2 linked regions of the Xenopus tropicalis genome follow. The protein of the gene in region 2 binds, or shares a complex with, the protein of the main gene of each other region. Links are inferred from orthologs where the notes say so. Each region holds a gene or a part of one and is shown on either strand. Other genes may lie near its edges.

The links.
Region 1: gtf2e2 (region 2) and polr2b share a complex: the UniProt entries of both Homo sapiens proteins name them as parts of the TBP-based Pol II pre-initiation complex. The link is inferred for Xenopus tropicalis from reciprocal best matches to the Homo sapiens genes GTF2E2 and POLR2B.

The regions. Positions count from the first base shown.
Region 1 is NC_030677.2:92,083,791-92,089,440, reverse strand, and holds part of polr2b (DNA-directed RNA polymerase II subunit RPB2), read right to left. Parts: intron 4,452-5,650; coding exon 4,357-4,451; intron 2,998-4,356; coding exon 2,747-2,997; intron 201-2,746; coding exon 111-200; intron 1-110. UniProt on the Homo sapiens protein: Catalytic core component of RNA polymerase II (Pol II), a DNA-dependent RNA polymerase which synthesizes mRNA precursors and many functional non-coding RNAs using the four ribonucleoside triphosphates as substrates.
Region 2 is NC_030677.2:83,789,426-83,795,628, reverse strand, and holds the start of gtf2e2 (transcription initiation factor IIE subunit beta), read right to left. Parts: upstream 4,123-6,203; 5' UTR 4,119-4,122; coding exon 3,962-4,118; intron 1-3,961. UniProt on the Homo sapiens protein: Recruits TFIIH to the initiation complex and stimulates the RNA polymerase II C-terminal domain kinase and DNA-dependent ATPase activities of TFIIH. Both TFIIH and TFIIE are required for promoter clearance by RNA polymerase.

The sequences.
Region 1 (5,650 bases), about 8.3 Mb from region 2:
CATATTTTGACATCAGTGGCAGGTCAACTGAGTGTTCAGTAACATGATTTTTTTTTCTTTTGCCCCTGCACACATATAGGTCTGCAATTGTAAAAAAATAAATAAATTACCTCTTGCCTGTACTGAATACCACAGGTACCTTTCTGCCCATGACGGCTAGCAAACTTATCTCCAATTTGAGGAATCCGAACTGAACGCACCTGAAGATGACAAGCACAAAAACAAACTTTATATTGTAAGATATAATTATAAAACACAATATATAAAGTACAACAATTATAGTCTATATTTTAGCATTTAAATCTACAATGTAAATATATTTCTCAGTGAAAGGTTTATATATACACATTCCCATTAACTAAGATCGAGAAAGCATCTTAGTTCCATTTCCAGCAATAGGCTGATGTGAAGCTGAAAACACAGCACATCTGCACTGGTGTGAGGGGTGTATATATATATTTGTCAGCAAGCTGCACACCATGAGAAGAGATGATACCCGGGTGCCAGTGCAGTAAATGTACATATACAGGGTTGGAAATGACAGCACACGCGGGTTTTTCACAAGACTTGCAAGTCTTTTTCGGCAATTTCCTGAAATCGCCCCGCCGCGTCTGCCATCCCGCCGGCGACTTACATGTTTGCCGGTGGGATGGCAGGGGTAGGCAACTCGGGGAGATTAGTCGCCCGCGAACAGGGAGTTTTGCTGCGGGCGACTAATCTCCCCGTGTGCCAGAGCCCTTAAAGATGTTAAGGTGGCCATACACGCACCGATATTATCGTATGAAACCTCGTTTCGTACGATAATCGGTGCGTGTATGGCATGTCGGCGAGTCGACTGATATCGCAGGAAGCTGCTGATATCGGACGACTCGCCGATCGGACCAGTTTGAAAATTTTGATCGGGCGCCATAGAAGGCGCCTGACCAAAATTCTCCCTTCAGTGCTGAATCGGCAGAAGGAGGTAGAAATCCTATTGTTTCTACCTCCTTACCTGCCGATTCAGCCCTGAATGGTGTGTGGCGGATCTTACGATGTTTCGTGCGACCGATGGTCTTACGAAACATCGTCAGATCGCCACGTGTATGGCCACCTTAAGGCTTTATTCAGTCCGACGTTTCAGCTCCTAGCTGGAGCTTTCCATGTTTACATATCAAAGTGCATGTGCCTGGGGAGGGATGAAAGTTAGTGAGAGCTCAGAGCTGTTCGCAATTAGATTGGGATTATGTTACAGTACATATATCTGCAGCGCATCAGTAGTGCAACTTCCTTCCTGTAATCTGTTTGCTGATGGGCTGAGGCACTTCCTTCTGTGCGTGTGTATGTGTGTGTGTGTGTGTGTAATCCTATAAGTGTGTAAGATCCTATAAGAGCCAGACAGATACTGCTTTCAATAGCAACTGAATGCTTACAAATACATTACTTTAAAGGGATAAAGACACCAGAAATTAAATCTTTTTTTTTTTACATTATAAAACATTGTCTTTGCATGTTATTCATAATTTTGCCTTGAAAGTATTTGTCCGATAATTTTACATTACCTGAGGGTGAGAAAATAGTCAGGTTGGCAAAACAAACAGGTTTAGGAACTTCATGTAACAACTAGAAAGGGAAGTTTAAGAACAAACTTTATGTTGGTTTGAAAAACATGTTACTGAATTAGATCTGATTGGCTGTTGTTGGCTCCACCCAGTTTTTCTAACCTTGGACCACAGTCAAAGTAAAAGACTGTGCAAGGTTTGGGGCCACGGTTTTAATAGTGTCAGAATGGCAGCAATTGATATTTCCCCACTGAAAGTCAATGAATGACATCTATTTGGTAGTTCATGGCTCTGCCCACTTTTTCTAACCGTGAACCATAGTTGCCCAGTGGCTCCACCCATTTTTTAATTCTACCAGATATTGTATATCATGACCTAGATGAATGAGAATCTTCATAGACATAAGGAAGAGGAAACACCCCGGGGTGGTGCGGTTTTTCTCCTAATAAAAGCACCACCAGCCCGGGGTAAAAAGTAAGCTATTAAAGTTACTGGGGGGTGCCTAAAATTTGGCACCCCCCCCCCCCCAGTGATTTTTACCTTTCCTTCTTGTTTAAATGTAAAACAATGACATTTAATGGATGAAATCTGATTGGCTGTTGGTGGCTCCATCCACTTTTACTAACTTTGACCTGCAGTCCACCAGTGACCAACTGTGAAGAGTTTGGGGACCCTGGAGTTATTACTGTGAGAGTGCCAGCAGGTTAAATTCCCCTATTGAAAGTTAATGGGTGAAATCCGATTGGCTGTTCATAGCTTTGCCCACTTTTGGGCATCCAACAAATATGTTTTCATTCAGGTTGAACCCATGACTATGGGTTCAAGTTTGGTTAGTGTAGTCTTAAAGCTCTTAGATTGGCAGCAATTTAAATAAGAAAAATAAGATTAAGGAGCGGAAGAATAAACTGAAATCAAAGAACACTACTATACTACTTACAAAAGCAGGCCTATCCACGAAAAATGATCAACATGACCTATAGATAACTTTTTATGTACATTAATATTTTGAAACTTATTTTTCCATGTTAGAACCACTTTAAAACCAATGTTTATGTATATTGGAAAATTGCTTTTTTTACAATACAAAAAATTTTAAAAAATGGTTTGCGTAAAGGACCACTTTAAAGATGCCAAGAGTAGACCCATTCAGAGTTTAGTATTTTCCAAAATATACATTACTTGAAAACTTGCATTACTTGAAAACTTACCCTAATTTTACAAAACTTGTATCCCTCTTGATTAAGTGTCACCATGACCTGATCAACAATTCCAGTTTCACTAGTACGTAGGAAAGTGCTACAGTCTCTCTTCGTGTAACGGCGATTAGTACTTTCTAACTCGTCTTCATTTTCAGGCAGAGTTACTGTCTTGCCAATAATTACGTCATCCCCTGACACACGTACACCAGGTGCTATCAAGCCATCATCATCCAATTTATCATAAATAGCATGCCTCATCCCTGTGGGGGTTGGGGGGGAGGAATTAAAAAAAAAAACCAAAAAAAAACTATAAATATCTTGAGAAATATAGGTGAAAATCTGATATGGAATTGATTGCATTTATTATTTAAAAAGTAGTCATAGCACTATTATATTCGTTATGCAATCAGTAGAGATTTAAAATCACAAGAATAACGCACATTCGGTTAACCCCTTGCAGAGTAAATGGGGCAATGAACTATGTACCCTACATTTCAGGCACTGTGTTGGCCTGGGTGCAGACACAACAAAGTGAATATGTATTTTTACATGCGTCTGCAACACAATGCCTCTTTGTACAGTCCTGCAGTAGAGTGTTTGTGTCTCAGTTTGAGCTTATGCGCAGACCAAACAGCTTTATGTGGCAGAACCTTTAAACAAAATCACAATTTACTACTTTAAAGGAGAACTAAAGCTTAACAAATAGGTAGGCAAGAATTATTGCACATTATGCTTCGGGACTCTGTAACAGTCCCAGGTGACTACAAACCTTTAAAGCATTAAAGATATGTGAATCCAAATATATCCCCAGTAGCTCCCAGTCATATTTTCTGCCATTTTAGAACACATCCTCTGTGCTGATGTTTGATACCTAAGCTTAGGGGCTAAGTTAGATTCTCATTACATGACAGCTCAGAAACCAGTGCAATTTATATCAGAATTTAGTAATTGGCCCTGCAGCATCAGCTTCTTTGTCACGTGAACCTCATTTTCTGCTTGATGATTTGCATTAAATCCAAGATGACGACCCCCTGCTGTGCACAACATTGAAGGCCTGCATTATTACGGTTGTAGGGATTCTGAAACTTTAGGCTGCTGCATTAAGTTCATTATATAAATATGAAATTTCAACGCATGTTGTTTTTAGGGTTTCGTTCTCCTTTAAAAACAAAATCCTAGAACACCTACCAAAACAAAGAAGTGGTGAAAATAGTACTCCAGCTAGGTGCTTCAATACACTACTTGTTCTTCAGTTTTATGGTTACTCTGTGATTTTATTTAGAGCATAGAAGAAAACATTAATCTTTTTATATTATCAGTGGCATAATTAAGTTTATAGCCTGGGTGTGCTGCTGAACCTGGGTTTGCGCCCCCATGAACCCATTGCGAAGAGTGAGACTAAGTTGCAGTTCTGCTCTGGGACTTGACACATGTCTAAAACACTGTTTTTAGTAATGAGGATGGGAAGTTGTGCAAAGAGGAAGAGGGCCTGGTGTGAATTTTGCACTGGGACCTGTAGGGGTTAGTTAGCTCAGTAATTTGGATATTTTTGATTTTTCTAAAGGTTTTATGAAACTTCTTATCCAAAAGGTAAAAATATTCAAATGCAGATATCTTACCCTGACACGTTTCACGAGTTGGTTTCTCAAAAACTTCTTCCTGGTCAAATCCCTTTTTGGACTCTTGTTCTTTGTATGAACGGTAGAACACAGACCTGTTTAGAGCAAAATATTATTCTCTGCCCCTTTTTTCAATGGTGAAATGCAGCCACATTAACCCAAAATGTATATGGCATCCTCAAATAAATTATCTTCCACTGTTCCTTTATTTTGATTTCTCAAGAGAATAATTACCAGAAAATGTCTAGGCATGTAAAATCAATCTGGGGTAATTTTATCAAGTCAAGAGCATGTACTCATGGGTGTTTTTGCCCTGTGTTTTCCCTGTAGTGGAGCACACCTACAGGGAACCCAACATCCTCCCAAGGTGAATTTATACTCTACTCCCCATATTTTGCATTAAAGGAGAAAAAAAGGTAAAAATCACTGGAGGTGCCAAATGTTTTACAAGACGGAAGAAACAACTTGCTTGTAGCTACGCAGGGCTGGTGCGGTTTTCTCCTACCAGGAGGACCAGCCTGGGGTAGCTGCAGTGAGTGTTTCCTCTTCCTTCTGAATCCCGGGGCCGGCGTAAGCATTAAAGTGGACCTGTCACCCTAAGGAATAATTACAAATTGTTTTCTATTGTGTTTGTCAAGCAAAATAAACTTCAATTACACTATATACATTTTTTTAAACTTATTTCCTTCAGCACTGGAATTCACCATTGCAGAAAACAGGCAGGCTCAATTTTGTGGACACTGTTATTAAGGCAAGCTGTGCATCCTGCCAAAATCTTGTTTCTGTGCCAGTATGGGGGGGACCTGATACCCATGTCCATGCACTGGTTACAAAACTAGATGGTGAGGAGGGAGGGGGAATGTGAGAAGTGCAGTGACATCTAAGTTCTGAGCTGAAAATGAAAGTAACTGTCTGCCCCACCCCTATGCCTAAGGCATAGAGGCGGGTCAGGCAATATATGATTGGCAGCTGGGGCTTTTAAATGCTTATATAATGGGTATAGATGTGTTAATAAAAAATAACTTTGGTTACATGTTTAATTTGAAAAGGGCTTTTACTATACAGCTTTTTATGTCTGGGTGACAGGTCCACTTTAAAGTTCGGCTTTTCACTCTACTGCACAAGTGCAAGCGTGCGAAGACAGAAGAAGGAATAGGAGACACTCGTTTGCAGGTACCCCGGAGCCCAGGGTAAAAGGTAAGCCATTTCAATCCCCCCCAGTTATTTTTACCTTTCCTTCTCCTTTAAATGCTATTTGAAGGACATGGTTTCCTAACTGTATTAACAATATGAA
Region 2 (6,203 bases):
TTTTTTTAACATATGAATGAGGCAGATATCCCTGCAGTGAGCACCAACCATTTGGGTTTTTGCTGCACTACCACCATTAATGTGGGTATGGTTTTAAAAGCTGATAGCATGGGTGTGCTTTGAAGTGGGTGTGGTTTAAAAAGGGGGAGGTGATAAAACTGTCTTCCTTTAACAGCCCTCCACCATGTAGGCCAGTGTTCCCCAGCCTGTGGCTCATGAGCCACATGTTGCTCCCCAACCCCATGGATGTTGCTCCCCGTGGCCTCAAAGCAGGTTGCATAAAAACCCAGTATAATGCAGTAGGCTGCCAGTGCACATGTGGGCTATTAAGTAACCAAATATGGCTCACAGGTATAAAAGGTTGGGGATCTCTGATGTAGGCCCTTGATACCACAGAAGTTGGAAGTTGTCCCAGTGCATTTGACTTTCCTTGCCATTAATAAAAAAAATCCAATATTAGCACAATGCACAGCTGACATCTAATCATACCAATGCAGTATAAAGTACAAGTTTGGCATCTGTTGTTTTGAATGATGCACCATGCCTTAAGGCTAATAAGAATTCCAACCAATATGGATTTTTGAGAGCTCTTTATTACTTAAAAAAAAACTAGTTAGAAAAACATTTAAATTGTTCATTTCACTTTGACACTATAAGAAATAGCTCTGTCATATTTTAGTTCTTGATAACAGATTTCTGCATAATAGGAGTACAATGTGACTTTAGAAACTAGCTGCAAGAACCAACCAATGAAAGGGTTATAGGACTGTGGGATTAGAAAATAGCAAAACACGCAAGTGCATTACTAGACAATAGTGATGAGCGAATCTGTACCATTTCGCTTTGCTGAAAAATCCACATAACTGCAAAAAAATTGTGAAACCGGGAAAAATTGGGAAATGCATTGAAGTCAACACATGACAAATTTTACGTGTGATAAATTGTACACGCAAATTGTTTTTTTCTTTACTCCAAATGCATTTTTTATATCAGTGTTATTTCCATCTCTGTAACAGATGCATCGATTGTTCCGCAGTTTCGCAAAAATATTTGCCGAAATGCAGAACTTCCCTGCGAATCCATGCCTGGTGAAGAAATTCACTAGATAAATAAAAGTATATACAAATAAAGAACATAAAACTGGATTACAGTTTAGTGAAAAGACAATCTGAAAATCTAAGAGATTGCACTAAAGATAATATTTGGGATGAATGCATATTGTGCAACTCTCCTATATACCCCTGTTGATTGGGTCTTTGTTAAACAAGGGTTTTATTTCAGATCAGACAGAATTCTTCAAATGTTTATCCAGGCACCCTAGTTCAATCATGAATGGTCTAACTGTATGAAAAAACTTCCAAAAGTTGTTTTTTAGGGTTTTATATTGTTACACGAGACTGCCCAGCTATGTACAATATACAATGAAACTTTTACATCCCTTGATTTTACGCTTTTCTGCACTTTACAATGTTTTTTTGCGATATCACCAATATATAATGCATTTGCGTGATTTTACACCATTTTTTCTTGTCCCCTACAAGATGGGGGGTTCTATTGCAGTGCTGTCCTGTTAATTGTCTCCTATAAGTAAAACCCGTTTGGTTCCTTTGTAAGCAATTAATCTCAGAAAGGAGACTGGAAAGTCCATCAATAACTGACTGGCTCACCGATTACAACGTTTTAATGGAAAATTTGATACAATCAATGCAGGTTGCCACAAAGACCATCCCACAAACAGGTGCTGAAGCACATGCTTACGTAACATGTTACATTTAGGGATACTGTAACAATTGTCAATTCTCTAAGTTTTTGGCGAGAAGTCCTAATGTTGCAAACCTAAAACCATACACTTGGGGGCACATTTACAAAGGCACGAACGCTCGAGCGTTCATGCGAACGCTCCGAGCGTATTTTTGCCGATTTTTTCGGGCGTCCGCACGACTTTTTCGTACGCCGCACGACTTTTTCGTACGCCGCACGACTTTTTCGTACGCCGCACAACTTTTTCGTACAGCGCACAACTTTTTCGTACAGCGCACAACTTTTTCGGACGTTTGCACGAAAAAATCGGAAAGGTTTTACCGCTGTTTACAATTGTTCGGTACGAAAATTTCGTGACTTTCGGATCGCCAATACGATATTATCGTGACTAATAAATTTTCGTTTCCAATACGATTTTTTCCCTTTCGTGATTCGGATTCGTGGATTAGTAAATGTGCCCCTTGGATTAGCAGGCTAAATCAGATAGAAAAACACTGCTCTGCGGGTATTCTGCAGGTATTTGACTTAATGCAGAACTTCCCAGTATAATAAATCTGCATAAAAAAAAAAAAAAAACTTGCAATGCATATCTTGCATATCTTCTACACTGAAAAATTTACCTTTTAATCAATCTGAAAAATTCTCATATGTGTGATACTTAGTCATATGGTCAGCCAAAAGTAATTTTATCATGAAAATGTTAAAGGCATGCCCAAAAACCAGAACAAACAAAAAAAAAAAATTTCACCAGTAATATAAGAAAACAATCTGTATAAAATTGTGGTTTACACCTGATCAGAGGTTTCAGTGCAAAGTTTAGCAATAGGAAATATGGGGAATAGATATGCCACTGCTTGATATATTAGAGAAACTAAATGTAAAAAAAATTAACCTCTTTTGTTTAGATATATTCTTTTTTTTAGAAATCTGAACAAAAAAAAAAAAGCTATGAAAGTGGGTAGATGTATTTAAATGGGCCTTTACAAAAAATTTATTTGTAGCATCAACCCAACATGAACTCTCATCTGAACCGCTAGAGCAGCATCCAACATTTTAGGAGTATTTTAAAAAGGTGCATTAAATTGCACAATACATCCACAATTGTTCTGTATCAAAATACATGTATGGAATCTATTATCTGTAATGGTTAGGACCTGGGGAACATAGAGCCCCATGTCCTAAGTCCACTAATGACTCTCATAATATAGCTGTCCCTACTATTATGGATCTACCACCATGTTGGTGGTAATAGACACAGAGTTGAAGGCATTATTTTTCTTTCTGCAAATGTTAACATGTCCAGATTTTGAAAAATGTTTATGCATTTATGGGTGTTGCTTCTATTGGTGAGTTTGAATTTGCTACTGGGAGTTTCACTTTAATGATGCAATTTCTCCACATTTGGAATATGTTGTCATGATTTTAATGGACATTGAAACTGCAATTATTTTGAAGTTTCAATGTCCATTGCTCCTGCATCAATCTTTTGAAACGCTCTTAGCTGGTTCATGCCAATTTAAAATTAATGTACTGAAGTGCTGACTGTCAGACCGCTTTTAGATCTGACACATACAGCTAACTGTAATGTTTTTTCTTTAAATTGTGAATTATTAACTTTATACATAATGTTCTTTTTTATTTTGTGTTTGCTTTATTTTTCCCACTCACAAACATACAGTAGCAGAATGTTTACAGCAAAAGATTTAACAAAAACTTCAGTCAAGTGAATCCTAAGGCCCACTTACAGATGCAAGAAGAAATGCAAAGAACTAGGTTTATCATAAAATTACATTGACATAAAGAAAGGCACTAGTGATGAGCGAAATTTTCCCCATTAAAAAAAACATCTATAGACTCCAACGGTGGAGAAAATTACAAGAGAAAAAGTTGTGTGGTAAAAAATAGTGCAGTAGCTGTGAAAAAACGCCAATTGACATAGGGGGTGTGGTTGCAAAAATGGGCGTGGTCAAAAAATGTGGCATTTCTTTTTGTCCCTCTTTCCATTTTCAAAAAGTTGGGAGGTATGCTTTAACAATATGTCTTCACCTTTTTAATACAACAATATTTAGCCCTTGGGCTTCACTACAGCATCATTTTGATTTGTGCCCCAACACAAAAGTACAGTGTGCACAGTAAGAATTGTTCTGCAGATTAATAAAAGCTGGGAATAAGAAATTAATCATTCATTGGGGTTACTGACCTAAGCTTGGCTTGGATCCCGAAGTGCCACTAGGTTCAAGTTTGGCTCTCTTTTTCTTTGAAGACTCTGAAGAAGCACTTGGACGTTTTTCCACAGCTGGTGTGGTCAAGGCTCGCTTTTTAAAGAGCTCCCTGTCTCTTAGTAGGGCTGGATCCATGGTACTGTAAATAAAACAATAAATAAAAAATGAATTAGCCTTGTACAGGTATCGGACCCTTTACCCGGAAACCCATTATCCAGAAAGTTCGGAATTACGGAAAGGCCATCTCCCATAGACTCCATTTTAACCAAATAATTCACATTTTTAAAAATGATTTCCACCAAGCTTACTTTTATATGTACCACATCTAATGCAGTAATAAAATAATATAGTACTCAGAAAGAATGGTTTAAAATAATCATATTTTTTCAACACATTCTTACATATTTTGCCTATATTGGAAACATATAATTTAAAATATCCATTAGGCATTTAGATTCAGTTCAGCAGAACCCAAAAGTGGCTATAAAGCTTTGGACAACAGAACATTTTGTTCACAAATTATGATTTTTTGATTTCTCAAATTAGGGTTTGGTGCATTCAGTGCAAGCCTAGTATTCATTGCCTTCGTGCTGGTGTTGTTACAAACATAACTTTTTATAAAGCAAAGAGGTTTACATATTTGCATACTGGCACAATGGCATATGTTGCAAATATCTGTGTATAATCAAATACATGTTCCTTTAACAATTTTTACAATACAGGTATGGCACCTGTTATCCAGAATGCTCGGGGCCTGGGGGTTTTCCGGATATGGGATCTTTTCCATAATTTGGATCTCCATAACTTAAGTCTGCTAAAAATCATTTAAATATGAAATAAACCTAATAGACTTGTTTTAAGGATTATTTATATCTTAGTTGGGATCAAGTACAAGGTTCTGTTTTATTTTTACAGCAAAAAGGAAATCATTTTTAAAAATTTGAATTATTTGATTATAATGGAGTCTATTGCAGATGGCCTTTCCGTAATTCGGAACTGTCTGGATAACGGGTTTCCGGAATAAGGGATCCCATACCTGTACTAAATAGAAGATGATTATTTTTTTTTTTAGTGGGGAATTTTAGCCACTTTGCCTATTTTATTTAAGACATTTACTTAAGACACTGACCAAACCACCCTAATAGCCATTTATAATAATATATAGAATACAAATAAAATAAAAAAAAATTTAATGCCTTCTACTACATTTTTGAAGGCAAACTGTCCCTTTCACATGTTATATGTTATATATATATATATATATATATATATATATCTTTGTGGAAAAAAGTATGAATATTTTCTACAATTTGTTATAAAGGCAGATAGTCTTTTTAATTTGTTATATCTCTGTTGATGTATCCCTGTGGAATAAAAGTATGAAATAGGGCTAAAGTCCACAAGTGATTTTGTCGAATGGTGTCAGATCAATAAAATGCATTCGACAAGTCAGATGTAGTCACGTGGGTCAAAATATGATAGGACTGATACAAAAATCTCATTTGTTAACTATATAGAAAATATTGTCATGCAAGACAATAAGCCTGTCATAAGGGAACACTGCATCCAACAAAATAAAAACTGATGGTGTTAGAAAGACTTTTGGATGTTGATCGGAAAACATCCGATTTAATCTTATGCAACATTACATTACAGCCTGTGGAGATCAGATTTTGATCAAAATCTTGTGTATGTAGATAACGATTTGCCACTGTTATATATACATTTTATTGCCCATGATTTGCTTATAAAACAGCAAAATTGGTTTACATAAACTGTTTGGAGTATAAATGGACCAGAAAATTTTAAAGGGATTGTTTACTTTCCACACACTTTTTTTAGTTTAGATATTTACAAATAGTACACCAGCAACTAGTTAGTTTCTTTTTTTATTTTTGATCTTATAATATAAACTAATTTTCCTTCCTCTGGCAATTCAGACTATCAGCTCAGTAAGTCAGATGCAGACTCTTTTACAATTTGCTCCATTAGTTGACACATTTCTCAGCAGCATCAGAGAACTTCGACCCGTATATTATAATCAAGCTCAGAAAGTATGCTCAGTTGTAAAGGTAGCCATGAATTCAGCAGCGATATCTGCTAATAATCGGCCAGGTGTAGATCGGGGAGGCTTGATTTTTCTGCCGGATCAAGGGATACATGAGCTCATTTATACGGTCCTTGCTCTGACTTTTTGTATACCCTTCATTGTAATGCAAT